Arabidopsis thaliana: one gene and its partner. The protein of the gene in region 1 interacts with the protein of each later gene in a pairwise test. Each region holds a gene or a part of one and is shown on either strand. Other genes may lie near its edges.

Evidence for each region.
Region 2: the proteins of AT2G12400 (region 1) and ALMT1 interact in a protein complementation assay, tested with the Arabidopsis thaliana proteins (one large-scale study listed by BioGRID).

What each region holds. Positions count from the first base shown.
Region 1 is NC_003071.7:5,002,259-5,011,932, reverse strand, and holds AT2G12400 (plasma membrane fusion protein), read left to right. Parts: upstream 1-3,490; 5' UTR 3,491-3,792; coding exon 3,793-3,889; intron 3,890-3,971; coding exon 3,972-4,165; intron 4,166-4,972; coding exon 4,973-5,154; intron 5,155-5,231; coding exon 5,232-5,516; intron 5,517-5,597; coding exon 5,598-5,656; intron 5,657-5,728; coding exon 5,729-5,765; intron 5,766-5,850; coding exon 5,851-5,922; intron 5,923-6,009; coding exon 6,010-6,334; intron 6,335-6,414; coding exon 6,415-6,789; 3' UTR 6,790-7,049; downstream 7,050-9,674. Other genes in the region: AT2G12405 (uncharacterized protein), read left to right, coding at 343-591, 1,040-1,141.
Region 2 is NC_003070.9:2,654,131-2,663,152, forward strand, and holds ALMT1 (aluminum-activated malate transporter 1), read left to right. Parts: upstream 1-4,471; 5' UTR 4,472-4,669; coding exon 4,670-4,880; intron 4,881-5,002; coding exon 5,003-5,143; intron 5,144-5,276; coding exon 5,277-5,549; intron 5,550-5,643; coding exon 5,644-5,765; intron 5,766-5,852; coding exon 5,853-5,996; intron 5,997-6,308; coding exon 6,309-6,899; 3' UTR 6,900-7,180; downstream 7,181-9,022. Other genes in the region: BSL2 (BRI1 suppressor 1 (BSU1)-like 2), read left to right, coding at 77-247, 586-824, 915-999, 1,096-1,194, 1,263-1,462, 1,542-1,617, 1,889-2,024, 2,119-2,258 and 1 more; AT1G08440 (aluminum activated malate transporter family protein), read left to right, coding at 8,897-9,022. UniProt on the Arabidopsis thaliana protein: Malate transporter critical for aluminum tolerance. The STOP1 transcription factor is required for ALMT1 expression.

The DNA of each region.
Region 1 (9,674 bases):
TAAATTCAACTTGATCTATATCGAGAACCTGCTCTGATACCACTTATACGTACGTATGTGGTAAAATAAATTGCCGGAATAAAGAAGATAAGAAATTTGTTAATGAAGTTCGGTTTTCTGTACTCCACGGGACCAAGTCATGATTTGATTTCATTAAAACAAGAAAGCAAATTACAACCAATTCACAAACGCGAAAACAAGCACAACCCTCTTGATTTATCGACCCTTTCTATTAACGTGAAACCTTAAGGATAATCTTCCCTTAAATAAAATCTCGTGAGAATAGATTTAATCAGGATAACCTAACTCTAAGCTAAACTCCCTTTAGCCTAGACTCCAAATATGGGTCGTTGGTGTTCCTGTTCGAATTGGAATGTGGCGACTTGGTTCTTCTCTGGTATGGCAGTGGACTTGAAGTTCATTATGAGAAGTTCTTTCCTCCGTTTGTTGTCCTTCGATGCTTTGTGCATTGGCTGGATTGGATTTTTGGTTGTTCTTGGGTTCTTTGTTGTGATGCGGCTTGGTTTACATCGCGAGAACCTTGTTAAAGAGTTTCAAGGTTCATTAGAGACGGCGGTTTCGTCTAGGAGGGTTAGATAGGAGAGGGTTCAGTTGACCCCATGACTTTTATATTTTTTTTATTTTTTAAGGTTATTCGATTTTTTCCGGCCAAAAAAAAACATTTCCCCAAAAAATTTCAAAAGAGCGGGTCAGAATCTAATTCTTAAAATATGAAACCCCGCACGTATGTGCGGGTCAGAATCTAGTTATATTATTATCAAAAGAACTATAATTGTAGGATTTATAGCAATAGTTATATGTTTCTTAGTCCTCTTTTATTAAGCAAATGTAATAGCAAAGAATATTTTTAAAAATCAGCAATGAAATTTTTTTGAGTTAAATAAAGAATCATATTATAATATACTTACATTAATATATGACTTCCATAAAAAATATTTGTGGCTCCGCCACTGCTAGTGGGTGTTCTCAAACCTGTCTGAGTTGCTTTTGATGTGTCATGCTCTGGATTGGTAGCCAGAGGCAGTTTCTTTGGTTGTTCATTGGTGCTCACATGTCGTCGGTTCCGTTTTTACATTTAGTTTCTGGAGAAGCTGAAGTGTCCTTTTGCTATGAGGTTTGAGGACTGATTCACATAGGATATGCTGGTGGTTCTCGTTTGTGTTTTTTGTTTTATCATTTTTTCATAGTTTTTGATTTTTTTGTTTTAATTTCTTTTCGTTTTTCATGTATATTTTGCAACAAATCTAAATTTAGTATAAATCTACATATACATTTTTGCAGCCATTTTGTGAACTAAATCGTGTAGTTGGAATTTATTTACAATTGCTGCCACTAAATTTTAATGTTTGTTTTTGATAATTAGAGAAAAAATATTCGAATTAAATATTTGACATTTAACAATCTTCCCAAAATCTCTCCCAATTAACTACACGATTAGTTACTAAAATAAAACTTCCAAAATATTTAATATCATTTAATTACTATAAAATTTTTTCTTTTGATATTGCTTTTCTGCATGACTATAACAATTCGATTATAATCGTCAAACCGCAAAGATATTTGATAGCATTTAATTACTACAAAATTACAAAATATTTAGACAATGATTCATAAACATATCATAAATAAGATCAATATTAATAAAATATATTTGTTTTTTTTACGAGACGGGTTGACGGGACAGATTTGACAGGACGTTACTTAATAACAATTGTAAACTATAAAATAAAAATATTTTATAGATAGATACACTTTGCAAACTTTTATATATGCTACCTTTATAAAATAAATTGTTCCTGCGGTGTACCGCGGGTTAAAATCTAGTACTTAATAAATTAAACAAGAAAAGAAAAATATCTAGTCATTATGTGTGAATCTTACGCCACGAATAATTAATAATTAGTTTTTTTTTTTTTTCGTCAGTTTCATTAAACCCATAAAAGGGATACATGGTGAAAAGGATCCCAAGTACAGAAAGCCCAATTAACCCAATATAGCTATTACAATCAAAATAGACGAACACGTATGGGTAAAAGGGACATGTGTATGTGACACGTGTGTAACATCTGCTGAAGGTGGAAGAAGACGCAACCGACTCATTCCTAGCGTTTCCACCGGGCTGAAACTCCGATCAAATCCACCGAACTCTGCTAATCAAATCATCGTTTGCCATCCAAGGATTTTACCAGAATTCAGTTAAAACTCCAATCACCAATTCTCTGCCTTTGCTAAATTCTCTGAGTGAAAAGAAACAGGAATCCGAGTCATCAGATCTATGAACTGCTGGAACATACGACATGGCGAGAGGTCAGATCAGTCGCAAAACACGCTCTTCTGAACTGTTCTACGCCGGCCATCAAGTCCCACTCATCACAATTCACAATCTTAAAGAGAAACCTTCATCATTAGCCGATTACGGTCCATTAGGGGTATGAAGGATTTATTCTCCCCTTGACCAGAATTGAGAAACTGATGATTCTTGAGATTCTGAATTAAGCACTCAGCTTCTAATTCTTCTTCTCCAAAAGAAATCTAAGATCTGCAAAAGGAGAGAAAAACAAAACAAAAAACTAGCCATAGTGGCTAAGATAGACTCGCACTTGGGCGAGAATAGACAAAACCGGATTTCACCGGAAACAAAATCCGACAAAACATCGTCGGAAATAAAGGAAAACACTTTTCTCTCTCTGAAAGATTGTTGTGAGAGAAGAGAGAGAAAATAATTGATTTGATTCTAATGATTTTTTTTTGTGAAGATTAATTAATAATTAGTTATATGTTTATTTTTAGAAAAGCAGATTATCTCCAACAAATATGAAAATTGATTGGGTATAATATGCAGATGTGCATATTTATCTAACTCAGCACTAGTATTTTTGTTTTTATTTATGTGTTTTCAATTTTCATTAAGAAATAAACTTAAAAATCCGGTTAAATTATTATATATTTTTAGTCAGTTCTCTATTCTGAAGATTTTTATTTTATTTTATTGTATTATATTTTTTGTTTGATAAATAAAAACTCATAAACATTTTTGAAATTAATAATTCAGTAACAAATCTGTTTTTTTTTGGCCACATAGTAACAAATCTAAATAATCTTCGACCTTACATCACAAATTCACAACGGTAGTTGAAGACAGTTTAATAGTAAATACGAAAGTTTGTACCAAAGAATCTATTACAATTACTTGGAACTTGGAAGATTTAGTTTCAAGATTTTTAAGTTTTAATTATTAAACTAAGGGACAGTTGTACCCAAAAGATAAAATATCTCTGTCACCTCCAACAACAAGTCTTTATTCTCAAAGATTTGTTTTGTGACGCGTCGGCACAAGTTATGCCGCATAACTATCATAAATTATTTTATTAACAAAAATTTATGTTATGTTCGTAATTTAATTATACAAGAGAATATAATCACAACTAAAATATTCTACTTCTGATTTTCTTATTAATAAATATATTTACTCGGAACATCTTTTTGTAAGAAATTGGTTAACTTTACAAATGCGCACATTAAACCTATTTTCGAAATGTTGAAAGAAAAAATAAATTAACTTAATTTGCATTTGGAAATTAAATCAATTATGGAAAAACCGATGATTCGACGAATCAAACAGAACCGCGTCAAGCAATGCCTCTCAAATCAATCGTGTTCTTAACGTGAGAGAGAGCCCCATTGTTTCTCAAACACGATCGAGAATAAACATTACAACAACAACAACAGAAAAAAAAAACAGAGAGTTAAAAAAAAAAAGAACCAGACATAATGTTGTGTTTCAGATCTCAAAGAGTGTTTATACTTGTGTCTCTGTGTTTACTCTCTTCGTTTCTTGTGGTCGTCACTGGAACAACATCGATTACTGGTAAGACTTAGATTTTTCAAAAGTTGTTTCTCCATTTTTTTAATAGTTATAAGATTTTTCAATTTGTGTTTGATTGATTCAGGGGTTGGTAACGAAGAAGAAAGAGGTGTAGAAGAAGAATGGAGAACAAGTGTAATAGAAAGAGTAATTGCAGAGGAAAGTGGAGAGAACTCATCTCTGATTTTAGCTGCAAAGAGAACAAGAAGAAAAGATCCTGCTGATAATTTCAAACTCTACACTGGTGGATGGAATATAAGCAATTCCCATTATTTGACTGTGAGTCTTTTATTTCTGTGGTCCAAAAATGTTTTTTTTTTGTTGTTGTGTGAAATCTCTCTCCTTACCAGGTGGGTATTGCTTCATTTGACTTGGGTTCTTCTTAGATTCCTAAATTTTGATTAAAGTTATAATCTTTACCATCAAAAGTCTAGTGGAGTTTTGACTGTTTTAACTTTTAAGGTGTAGTTATGATGCTCATGATGAATTAATCAATAGCATAGGATTCACAACTAGTTGGTGCTTGGTTTACTTGACTTGGGTTCTTCTTATATTCCTAAATATTGATTAAAGTTATAATCTTTACCATCAAAAGTATGGCTAAATGGAGTTTGACTGTTTTAACTTTTAAGGTGTAGTTATGCTCATGATGAATTAATCAGTGGATTAGGATTCATAACTAGTTGGTGCTTGGTTTACTTGACTTGGGTTCTTCTTATATTCCTATATTTTGATTAAAGTTTTCATCTTTACCATTAAAACTATGGCTAACTGTAGTTAAATTTTAATTAAAGTTTTGATTCTATGACTAAGTGTAGTTAGGGTGTTTGGTTTATTTGACTTTGATTCTTATATTCCTGAATTTTGAACTTTAAAAGTTTTGATCTTTATCATTTTGTAATATTCACTCTGGATTAATCAATGGAAATTTGGATTAGCTCTATGACTAGCCTTGTTACTTGAATCAGTTTTATTATGCTTATATAGATGAAAGATGTTTGATACCAATTGATATTTTTGATGAGTCTTTTGTATGGTATTGGTGACATACTAATCAATCTCTATCATTCTTTGCTTGTGGTGCAGTCTGTTGGTTATACAGCGGCGCCTTTCATTATAATAGCACTAGTCTGGTTTGTGTTCTTTGGGCTATCATTGTCTCTGATTTGCCTTTGTTATTGCTGCTGTGCCCGTCAATCTTATGGTTATTCCCGGGTTGCTTATGCTCTATCCCTTATCCTCCTCATCTCGTTCACAATCGCAGCAATGTAATTCTCACGAGCTATTCTATTCGTCATCGTTGTTTCTTGCTGGATATTTATGTATCTTGTGTTTGATATTCCAGTATAGGATGTGTTTTTCTTTACACTGGTCAAGGGAAATTTCATGCTAGCACAACCGATACTTTGGACTATGTCGTGAGTCAAGCGAATCTCACGTCAGAAAACCTCAGGAATGTGTCAGATTATCTTAATGCAGCTAAGAAGGTTGATGTGCAATCCAGCATTTTGCCACAAGATGTTCTCTCGAGTATCGACAACATACAGGGAAAGATAAACTCGTCCGCCACAACTCTTTCTGTGAAAACAATGGAGAACCAAGACAAGATACAAAATGTCTTGGACATCATGTAAATATTCTGTACCATATCTTTATCTTTCATCTGTTTTTCACCTTTTTGCTTATGATTTTTTGTCTCTAATTGTTGTAGGAGACTTGCTCTCGTCATCATCGCTGCTGTGATGCTTTTCCTTGCGTTTATCGGATTTCGTAAGTCTTCATGTTATATGCATTAGCAAATTCTTTAACTTGCAGAACTTAACTTGCATTATTCTCATACAGTTCTCTCTATTTTTGGACTGCAATGCCTTGTATATACGTAAGTGAAGTCTCATTTTCTTATGTTCTGTTTTACATTGGTTCCACTATATGCTGAAAAGTTTGTTGTGATTATCAATGGACAGGTTGGTGATCCTTGGTTGGATTCTCGTCACGGTTACCTTCGTCTTATGTGGTGGATTTTTACTTCTACACAAGTGAGTTCTCTTCTCTCACTACCATTATTTGTCTACTCAATAATTGATAGCTTTCTTCAAAGAAAAAAATGGCTTCTGCTTTGTCAGCGTTGTAGGGGATACGTGTGTTGCGATGGACCAATGGGTCCAAAACCCAACAGCTCACACGGCTCTAGACGATATTCTACCGTGTGTTGATAATGCAACCGCGAGAGAAACATTGACTCGGACTAAGCTTGTAACATACCAGTTGGTCAATCTTCTTGACAATGCCATTAGCAACATGACCAACAGGAATTTCCCGCCTCAATTCCGGCCTCTTTATTACAACCAGTCAGGTCCACTAATGCCTCTACTCTGTAACCCCTTCAACGCTGATCTCTCTGACCGCCAATGCCAGCCTGGTCAGGTCCATCTGAACAATGCAACCGAGGTAATCCGAGGATTCCATCATAATATGATATATAAATTCCCAAGTCATATCAGTCTGTCTTATGATTTGTTTTTATGCAGGTGTGGAAGAACTTCACTTGCCAAATTGTAACACCGGGAACATGTAGTACACCGGGACGGTTGACACCAAAGCTTTACAGCCAGATGGCTGCAGCGGTTAATGTAAGCTATGGTTTGTACAAGTACGGACCGTTCTTGGCAGACCTACAAGGGTGTGACTTCGTGAGGTCTACATTCACTGATATAGAGAGGGATCATTGTCCGGGACTTAAGAGATACACACAATGGATCTATGTGGGTCTTGTGGTGGTGTCTGCTTCTGTAATGTCATCTTTGGTGTTTTGGGTTATATATGCGAGAGAGAGGAGGCACCGGGTTTACACAAAAGACTACAACGCTATGCACTCTGAAGATCCACGAAGCAAGGGCCACTGAGAGATTATGTTCTTTTGGAGGTTTACCCTGTACATTATGGTGTGAGAATTTGGTTACCTTCTGTGTAGTGAATGATGGAAAGAATCTTTGATTGTTTTTACATGTTTTGGGAAGTACTTTGAAATGAGATATATATTAATTTGTGGAGCTACAAGATTCTTAATATTGTTCGAACTCGCTGTCTGACAAATATTTTGTGGGATTTTGACATCACTATCTCCGATGCATGTCGCTATTCTTTTCCTCTGAGTTGATTTTTCTCCAATGTATTCTTCTAATTTTTTTCTCTGTTTTAAAGGCATACATTATTGCATCTCCAACCCATCTCTATTTTTTCTCTTATTTTTTTTTTTAAAATCATTTCCAATGTATATCTCTATATTTTACTCTAAAAAGAATATTCTTAGAAATATTCTATTTTTATTTTATATACTAATACCTTTTAATTATATAATTTACAATTTGATCCATATATTATAGATTTGCAAAATTTCCATAAAATATTATATTATTTTAAATTAAACACTAATTATTTATTAAAAAAATATTACATCATATAACAAGAATAAAACATTACAAATTTTTTTAAAATAATACCATTAAAATATTTTTCTCACATATGATCAACTAAAACATTTTAACTATCTTGGCAGATCTACACGCAATTTACCAGACTATTAAATTACTACTTGTATGTTTTAGTTTTCTTATGTTGTTTATTTTAAATTTAGTACTTGTTTGCTTGTTAAGTTTATAAAACTATGTGTTGTAATTGTTGTGTGTAAAATGATTATATGTATTAAATAAAAAAGTTTAAATTTGAGGGACTAAAGTATAAAAAAAAAATTGAATTCAAAAATAAAGTAGAGAATAGAGTTGCTCTATATAGACCAAATCTGCAGAATTCTCTATTTTAAAATCAATTATAGAGTAGGGTTGGAAATTTTTTTTGCATTTTTACTCTAAGATAGAGTAGGTTAGAGATACCCTAACAAATAGAAATCTTTATTTTTAAGAAACTATTGGAGTAAAAAATTGAGATTTCTATTTTTTTCTATATTTAGAAGAAAAATAAAAACAACCATTGAGATGGTCTTAGAGCAAAATGCCTCTACAATAAAGTCATCGTTAAAATGGAGAAAAGAATATAGATGTTCATTGAAGATGTTCAAAGAACGGTCGACTTACATATTAGATTGATAATGTTTATTACTCGAACTAAGGCTACACCGACGACATGATGTAACGTTGTTGGGTATAGTAGCATCAAATCTTTTCCCTTGACATTTGAAAAAATTTACGTGTTTAGTTATGCTATTTTTTTAATCATGGATTATTAATTCTTTATAACAAGCATGTCATCTCATCGATAGATGATTTATCTTCTTTTTCTTTTGTGAAAGCTTGATTAAAAATAAGAGAGAACAAACTCTAGTAAAGGAGGAGGTGTTGCAAGACTGTAAAGCCGACTTTGCTAACGTGTCTGGCTCCACATTAAAGCTTTTAGAAAATTTAAATATTTTAACTTTTTTTACTATATATTTTATAATAATTGAAAATAATTTAAATATAAAAATAAATAAAAATAAATAATAAATCATATATTTATATTTAAATTAGATATATAGGATTTAAGAAATTAGACAAATTTTTTATATTAGTACAAACTGATAATATTTAACCCGCAAAACATCGCAGAACGATTGATTGTTTTTAAAATCATAAATGTACAATTGTAAATCTTTTTAAAATCGTAATTGCAATTGTAAGTCTGAGATTAGTTTTTTACATACTCATAATATTGAGAATTGTTATGAAAACATTTATGTCTTCTTACATCCATTACAATTCTCAATAACCCTTTATTTTTATTGAGGTGTCACATGTACACAACACCCTTAATAGACCTTCTTTCGAACACATGCCCAATGAACAAACGCCCAGCCCACCATGATTTCTTCTTCTCCTTCTCCGATACACCAAGGATGGTTTGTAAACACAAAACACATCAATCACCAGAGTATACCTTCCAGTAGCAAATAGAAAAACTCCCAAAGATTCACTCCATCAACCATAATTTTCTTATATTGGTAAGTATTCCTTCCCAAATTCCTTTAATTTTAAACTTTTGTTTGTTTTGCGCAATGATTGATAGTATGATTTAAACGATGAATCGATGGACATTATGGTGATTAAGATATTTTTAAAATTTTGAAGTGACGTCGTAGTTATGCTAGGGAAGAACTGTTTCGCTATATAGCCAGTGATCGGAGGCATGGTGTGCAATTACCAACCATCGCTACCGATTATTTGTGAGTCTCTAAGATCCACGATTAACTCTTCATCGGGCTTTCTTGTCTCGCTATTGATGTCCAGGCATTGTAAGCTCTCGTGACTATGCCATGTTCATATGTTTACTATTTTCCTCTGTCAAAATTTAGGGCTTCATATTTTGTTTCACTACAAGAAATTTGTTCATTTTTAGCGCTAAAAATCTGCTATCTTACATTATTTATAGCAAATTCATAAACGCCATGTTCTCGGCAGCTATGGTAGGTGTCACTCCTACGATAGCAGTTTTGGAAACGCTATTATATTTAATGATATAATAGCAAAATTAGAACGCTGTTTTAAATAGTAATATAGCACTTTAATTTTTTGCTAAAAACTAACGACGATTTTAATTTCGTGTCATAATAGGTTATTCTATGTTAGCAATTAGTTCACGTTGCGAACAGTTTTTTTTTTGCATTACGTTTGATGCTATGATATATGATTCTTCTACCATAACATTAAATAATTGCTGAGTTTTGTTTATTTATGCGGTTTAGTGATGCTGTAATACAATTGTTCACAACCTGTTTGTTTTTGTTATTATCTGAATT
Region 2 (9,022 bases), on another chromosome or scaffold:
ACTAGTATTTCTTACCCCAAATTCTCACCACTAAAGCATTTCTGGTTTATAATGTTTCTGGCACTTTGTTATTTAGGTGGTGGTTGCTGCTGAAACTGGTGGCGCCTTAGGTGGAATGGTTAGACAGTTATCCATTGATCAATTTGAAAATGAGGGACGGCGTGTCAGTTATGGGACACCAGAAAGTGCAACAGCAGCAAGGAAACTATTAGATCGACAAATGTCAATCAACAGTGTTCCAAAGAAGGTAAAGATTTTGATTATCGACATAATTTTCTGTATTATTGGGATCCTACATGTGGATTTAAAAACACAGTAATACATCTGGTAAAGTGTGATGAAATTATGAAAAGGGTACAATCTTGAACTATTATATAATACTTTCGTTCTGTGGCATTGGTTAATTGTGATAGAAATCGAATAAGCTATTGTATAGGTATACTATCTCCTGGTTTCCATTACTGGTAACTCATAGTTGAAGATTCGTTTGCATCCTCTTATTGTTCAATTAAGCATCGGGTGCCTAAAGACTCGCTTAGTGATTCTGGAGTTTTAACAATATGTGACCTAACTATGTCTTAATAGGTTATAGCTCATCTTTTGAAGCCTCGTGGTTGGAAGCCTCCTGTTCGACGGCAGTTTTTCCTAGATTGCAATGAAATAGCTGATCTTTGTGATAGTGCAGAACGTATCTTCGCAAGTGAACCGACTGTATTACAGCTTAAAGCTCCTATCAAAATATTTGGTGATCTGCATGGGCAGTTTGGGGATCTTATGCGCCTTTTTGATGAATATGGTTCACCATCTACAGCTGGAGACATATCGTAAGTGCATCACTAAAACTTGTGACATCAGTGGCCCTACTTCTTGCTACTTTTTGCTGGACATTGCTCATTTTGTTGTTTAATTGTCAGATATATCGACTACCTCTTCTTAGGGGACTATGTTGATCGGGGTCAACACAGTCTAGAAACAATCTCCCTTCTACTTGCACTAAAGGTAGTCCTAAGTGTATTATGTCAGTTTTGCCTTGATGCAGGTGTTCTAGTTGCTTTTGACCATAGAAGGTTTGACGTTCTATTTTTGGTACTGCAGGTTGAGTACCAGCATAATGTACACTTAATTCGGGGAAACCATGAAGCTGCAGATATCAATGCCCTTTTTGGCTTCCGGATAGAGTGTATTGAGCGAATGGTAATGTAATCTGCTTCTGAATCTCTTGTTTCCATGTTTATTTGTCTCATGTTGTGGTTGCTTTGTAGGGTGAACGTGATGGAATCTGGGTGTGGCACCGAATAAATCGTTTATTCAATTGGCTACCTCTTGCTGCATCGATTGAGAAGAAAATTATCTGTATGCATGGGGGTATTGGTCGTTCTATAAATCATGTGGAGCAGATAGAAAATATTCAACGTCCAATTACAATGGAAGCTGGCTCCATTGTTCTTATGGATTTATTATGGTTAGTCCTTAGCTTCTATATGTTGGTCTGCTTAATGTTTTGGTCGAGTCTTACTAATTTGTTAATTTGGATTTGTTAGGTCGGATCCAACTGAAAATGACAGTGTCGAAGGTTTAAGGCCCAATGCTAGAGGCCCTGGATTGGTTACTTTTGGGGTAAGTAATTTTCTTGTGTTTTAATTTTATGTTGTCTGAATTTCGTTTTTCCTCCCTTCAGAAAACCAATAATCTCTTTCTTTTCTCACAATATTTATTCTGTGCAATGAGGTGCTGCTATTGTTAGACCAAGAATATATGATATTTTTTTCTTGAAACCAAGGAATATAGTCTAGTTTGCTCCCAATAATTTACCATATGAAGAAGTGTTAATTGCTTTTGCTTTTCATTTTTACCTGTTCTGTTACTCACCAAAACTTGGCAATTGTAGCCTGACCGTGTCATGGAGTTCTGCAACAACAACGATCTTCAGTTGATTGTACGAGCACACGAATGCGTAATGGATGGATTTGAGCGTTTTGCTCAGGGGCATTTGATAACGCTCTTTTCTGCTACAAACTATTGTGGTATGTACATGGACTCACTAAGTGCCATAACCGGATTTTGATATTTTGATGGGGTTATTTCTGTTTTCTTAATAGTTTTTATACTAAATCTCAGGTACTGCAAACAATGCTGGGGCTATCTTGGTACTAGGGAGAGATCTTGTAGTGGTACCTAAGCTCATTCATCCGTTACCTCCAGCACTTTCATCGCCTGAAACTTCACCAGAAAGACATATAGAAGACACATGGATGCAGGTTCATATTGCTTCATTTCATTACTGAATCTTAGTCCATAGTTATTGACCTGAAACATTGGTACTTAGCGTAGTATGCACTTTTCGCAGGAGCTGAACGCAAATAGGCCAGCGACGCCAACCCGAGGACGCCCACAAAATTCAAATGACCGAGGAGGTTCTCTGGCTTGGATGTGAGGCAGATAAAGAGGCACTCGTGCACATACATACCGCTCCAAAAAACACTTGTAACATCTGCCTCCTGGTGTTCCTCATGTGTACAGAAAAAGATGAGCCATAGACGAGAAACGATGAGGCTTGAAGATATCAGGGGGTGTGTAAATTAAGATGTTAAAAGGTTAGAGAAGTCAGTTTTGGTGGTGGTTTAGTAGTGATTTGTAGAGTTTATTTGTCCGGGCTTTAGTCCTCTCGTTCATTTTTATTCAGTCTGCTGTTTCTTCTTTTTTTTTATCATGTCATATCTTTCTTTTTTCCTCTTCAATTGTCTCCGTTGTTTTCGTTTGTGGTATAGTTTTTTGGCGAGTGGGTATGAATTCTTAGAATGGTAATGGTTGATTAGGTGGAGGATGGTCTGATGTCGTGGGGGGGGGGGGCTTTTGTGTATTTTAATTTTATTGTCAGTTCATACTTTGTAACATTTGTGTTGATTATATGATACGAAAAATTTTCCTGGCTCCTTTTGGTTGTCTAAGCTAGACCAAAAAAGAAGAGAAAAGAAAGAACTTATGCCCTTGAAAGCGACTTTGAGTTGGTTCATGGATCCTCGGGTGATGGACTCAGTCACTCGATTTGCTTGAGATTCATAAATTTATACATGTGCTTTGTGGCCTTCAAATGAAACACTGGTGATGTCGATATGATGTGATTTGGCATCGATGCTGTCATTGGCTCCAAAAAATCATGTTTTAGCGGTGAGAACAAAAAAAACAAAATTTTTGGAGGATCAGATGGTTGAAGTTAAAACTCGAGGGTATTAGATGGTTAAATTTTAATATTGTTTTGGATATAGGATGGTGATTAAAAAAAAAAAGTTTTGATTAGTGTTGGTGCAGGAATTAGCATCTCCGATAATACCAATTTAAACCAAGGAATAACGTGAATAAAATCGAGAATTCGATTGAACCGGGGTATCCCGGCTAGTCTGTTAATGGGCCTAAGTCATGAGCTCGCCAGAAGATTTAGGTCGACAGTCAAGATCGCCATAGGCGGCTTCTCAGGTCGTGTAAAGGGAAAACTTCCATTTAAGAGAAGAGGATCTCATGAAGAATAGAAGTAATGAAGATTTAGACCTAAGATAATTAGAAGTTTATCATATTTTGGTATGTTGGACCCATTGTATAAATAGGGGGGGGGGGTCAAGCCCTCTAAGAGGATCATGACCAACCTAAGACAAGAGACTACTATTACAGAGCAAACTCTAGCTTTTTATTCAAGCAACTTTGTTCTTCTCCTTTGATTATTCGTGAGCTAAGAGAGAAGTGAATTTGTCTAAATCCCTTAGTACAAATTAATTGTTTGATTAGAGAATCAACAATTAGTTTTGAACCTGATGATGTATTGGTCAAACTTGTAATCATCGCATCTGAGTTTGAGGTCATTTTTTCCAACTGTTGTTATACATATAAAATATCCAAAGAATAAAAGCCTTGTACGATCGGGGTATTGGGGTCCGTACCAACTTGTTGACATTTTTTATGTTTTTGGTGTGTGGCAGACTAGATTGAAACAATAATGACTAAGCAACTCAGTAAGAGTCCTTTTTTTGGACTCAGTAAAAGAGTCCAAGTTTTCTTTGAACAACAAAATTTTGTTGAGGTGTGTATGCACTTGGTTGGGAACAAACAAGTAGATGGCAAAGATCATTCGAACATTGGAGCCCAAGTGTTGAGGGCACTAATCTTGTCGATTACAGAAACGAAATTATTTGGGGAAGCTGCAAGAAAAAGTTTAGTTAAATCTTTTATATTCCTTAATCAAAATGTATCATGCATACACTATATACAATTCACTAAAGTATGATAGTTAAATACCTAATTAATATCATGATCAACTCCTACCGGTTCATCTAACTAATCCAGCTCAGCATAAAAACCCTCACGCGTCGCTCCAATTAAGGGGAGGGCTTAACTAGTGCCCAACTTACTGGGCTAGGTTCGACTCCGTTTTTTTATTACATTTTCCTTTTCCATTTCTTTAAGACTTTAACCCTGAAATCTCGAAGTGCAACGCACCACTAATTTTTTATAAATATTAACATAACATTTCATGAGTCCTAAACAAGAGTCTCTCTTGGTCTTTATAAATACATCGATCCATGTACATAAAAACAACAAGTCATCTTTTCTTTCTATCTGAAAGTAATCAGAGAATCAGAAAACACTTGAGAGAGCTGAGTGACCATCAAAAGGTGTTATGGAGAAAGTGAGAGAGATAGTGAGAGAAGGGATTAGAGTAGGGAATGAAGACCCGAGAAGAATTATTCATGCTTTCAAAGTGGGACTTGCTCTTGTTTTGGTCTCTTCCTTCTATTATTACCAACCTTTCGGTCCTTTCACCGATTACTTCGGTATCAATGCAATGTGGGCTGTCATGACCGTCGTTGTTGTCTTTGAATTCTCCGTAGGTTCGTCATCTAGTTTCTATCATTTGAATATGTCTAGTAGATATATCTAGGGAGAATGCAAGAATTTTTGTTGTAAACTTTTGGCCATAATATTAAATAACTTTGGTTTGATGTGTACTTAGGGGCTACACTTGGGAAAGGACTAAATAGAGGAGTGGCAACATTAGTAGCAGGAGGACTAGGAATTGGAGCTCATCAACTAGCAAGATTGTCGGGTGCAACAGTGGAACCTATTCTTTTGGTCATGTTGGTCTTTGTGCAAGGTAAACCCTTATAACACTCTTTACATTTTCAGATTACCATGCGTTTCCAAGCGTTTGGTCAATCATTGTTTGGCTAAAGACTAGATCAAAGAAGATTGGGCAATGAGTAATTAGTATTGTGATATATGTGCAGCTGCGTTGTCGACGTTCGTAAGGTTTTTCCCATGGGTAAAGACAAAGTTCGATTATGGGATATTGATATTCATATTGACGTTCGCGCTGATATCGTTGTCGGGGTTTAGAGACGAAGAGATAATGGATTTGGCAGAAAGCAGACTATCGACAGTGGTGATTGGAGGAGTCAGTTGCATCCTTATCTCTATCTTTGTCTGTCCTGTTTGGGCTGGACAAGATCTACATTCTCTCCTTGCCTCTAACTTTGACACTCTCTCCCACTTCCTTCAAGGTTTTTTATTTCTTTCTCTTTTTCTTTTCCTCATTATGTCTCTACAAGAACATAAATATATACATATACGAGATAGTGAATGTGAAATTGGCAGATTTTGGGGACGAATATTTTGAAGCGAGAGAGAAGGGGGACTACAAAGTAGTGGAGAAGAGGAAAAAGAATCTTGAGAGATATAAAAGTGTTCTTGACTCCAAAAGCGATGAAGAAGCTTTGGTGGGCTACTCTCTCTCTTTCTTTCCCTACTTGCTTCACAATTATGAAATCATTTGGATTGATTTTGTTTTGATATTTTGCGTTTAGGCTAATTACGCAGAATGGGAACCGCCTCATGGACAATTTAGGTTTAGGCATCCATGGAAACAATATGTTGCCGTTGGTGCATTACTCCGGCAGTGTGCCTACAGGATTGATGCCTTGAATTCATACATCAACTCAGATTTTCAGGTAATCGCTAACTTTTTGTTAGGTGTTTGCATATTTAATTAAAACAAAATTTGAAAATACATAAAAGAAGAAAAACTAATATGCTATTATGCTATAACTATTTTTGATCTAATACAATATATATATCTATATATATATATATATATATATTTACATGTCGCAAATGCAAACACAAAAATAACATCAGGTTGAAATTCTTAGTCTGTTAATTTGTTTATATAGTTTTTTTTTTTAGTGTAAACATGTATAGTAGTATATGTTTCTGGTTAACGTGTTTCTAACCCTTTGTTTATTTCTTATTTTTTCTATTAGATCCCAGTGGACATAAAAAAGAAATTAGAAACACCATTAAGAAGAATGAGCTCGGAATCGGGAAACTCAATGAAAGAAATGTCCATTTCACTAAAACAAATGATAAAATCATCTTCTTCTGATATCCATGTCTCAAACTCACAAGCTGCATGCAAATCTCTTTCTACTTTACTTAAATCAGGCATCTTGAACGATGTTGAGCCTCTTCAAATGATCTCATTGATGACGACTGTCTCCATGCTCATAGATATTGTTAACTTAACCGAAAAGATCTCGGAATCTGTACACGAGCTTGCATCCGCTGCAAGATTTAAGAACAAGATGAGGCCGACCGTGCTATACGAGAAGTCGGATTCCGGAAGCATTGGTCGTGCCATGCCAATAGATTCTCATGAAGATCATCATGTTGTCACAGTTTTACATGACGTTGATAATGATAGATCAAACAATGTTGATGATTCACGTGGAGGGAGTTCACAGGACTCATGTCATCATGTTGCCATAAAGATTGTTGATGATAACTCAAACCATGAAAAACATGAAGATGGTGAAATACATGTACATACATTAAGTAATGGGCATCTTCAGTAAGTAATTCAACTCATTATTTGAGGAGCAGTCTTTTGTACCCGCAAGATTATAGAGACGAGACCATCGGTATATAACATATTCGGGTATTTCATTCAGATTTGAAGTTTGTTACAAATACTATTGTCGCCTTTGATCATTTTTGAACTATTGGTCACACATTTAATAAAGTCTTGGTCTTCGTTTTCCTTTGCGTTACTCTTTTAAAGATTTTTATATCCAACTGATCAAAAAATTTAAAAATAGCATGGTTTTATTTTTGGATTATGGTGTTTTAGAGAGCTAACCTCAGTAAATAAAAGAACATAGACCGGCGCCAGATAAAGACAAGTCCGGCAAAAACTCTAGATTGTTATTTTCTATGAATATAATTAATTTTATTCCAAACATATATCGTATGAAAAAAAAAATCATTTATCATTGGAGGAGGCGGTGATCAGGCGCAGTGAGAGGAGGAGTCGGTTAACAAAAGTGGTCTTGGCCAGTGCCAAAGCGTCATTGTAATCGCTTTCAATTCTCAAAACCAATACGGTAATATGCACAACTAATAGAATGTTTCAGGTGACAAATTTTCTCACTAAAGTCAAACTTTCATACTTGCCGATGAAGTAACAAACATACAGTACGTTCAATACATTAAGGATATATATAAGAAACAAAAGCTGGAAATTGTGTGAATTTAGCTAGGTTAGATTATAGTATAATAAAGTTGCCTTGTACGATTGGGGTAATGGCTAATGGATTCCGTACGTTGATGCCAACTTGGTATTGGCAAGGCTGAGTGTGACTCGGTGCAAAAAGCACCAGCTGCTATCTAATTCCGCGTTCTAACCAATACTACATTTTCATTTATTATTACTTTTTACAATCCATAAATCTCTCTGCTGTGGAGGGTTGATATAAGATCCGAAACTTCTTTGTTGATAAAAAAAAATCTAACAATCTTCCAAGTTCAAATCTCACTCAGGAAATATGAATGACTGAATATTTAATTAGATATTATCGAAATTGTGATTCTTGTTGACAAAAAAAAACAAATCTCATAAGAAGTGGTGATGTCAGTTTTCGTTGAGAGAAAGAGAATTTAAGTGGATATGTTCAATATACAAAAAAAAAAAAAAAAAAAAAATTGGACAATTTGGTCGAATATTAATAAGGTAGGTCTAAATATTAGTGAAAGTAACATATGTGAATGCCCAAAACGGACGGATATTTTACTAGCTTTGAAACAAAGAAACGATGGGACAAAATGACAAATTGAATGTCTATTTATTTGGAGTTTGTCATGATTATTCATGTCAAAAACGCAAACTATTATTAATAGACTGTTTATTTTATTATTTTCTTACACTCGCCGAAAATGTTCAGAATCGGAAATAATTAGATGTAACGTTCCTGTAAAAAATGCATTGAGTTTTAATTTTATTTTATTTTCTTAAAGATAAAAAATTTCTGTTAAATGAAAAATGAAAGAGTTGTGAATTACGTTTTTTTTTTTAATATTGATTATAAATGTACAGCTAGCAACTTTAAAAATGGTTAGAAAACAAATGTTGGATAGCACTATTTTATTTTTACATAAAGAAAATCTTTTGGACGTGGAATTTTAATAGAAATTTCGGAAATAAATTAAGAGAACAATACTAAAGTATGCTACTAATAGCCGCTTTTAAATATCGGATAAATCAGCACCAAAGTAGAACTTGGTTACGTAAGTACTAGTCTCTGCCTCTAATTAAAAATACTCTGTCTCCAGTTAATTATATTTCTCATTTTCAATTTCTTTAACCCTCAACGTACGATATGAAGTACAACGCACCACTGATTTTTTTCTTAAAATAATAAAATAACATTTCACGAGTCCCGAACAGGACTCTCTAGTCTCATAATGCTCATTATAAATAACGACGATCCATCCGCTCAAAACAACAAGTCATCTTTCTACTTCTTCCTCTCTTTCTGAAACTTATCAGAAAGTTGAGTGATAATCAAAGGGTGTAATGGAGAAAGTGAGAGAGATTGTGAGAGAAGGGAGGAGAGTAGGTAAAGAAGATCCGAGAAGAGTAGTGCATGCTTTCAAAGTGGGACTTGCTCTTGCTTTGGTCTCTTCCTTCTATTATTATCAA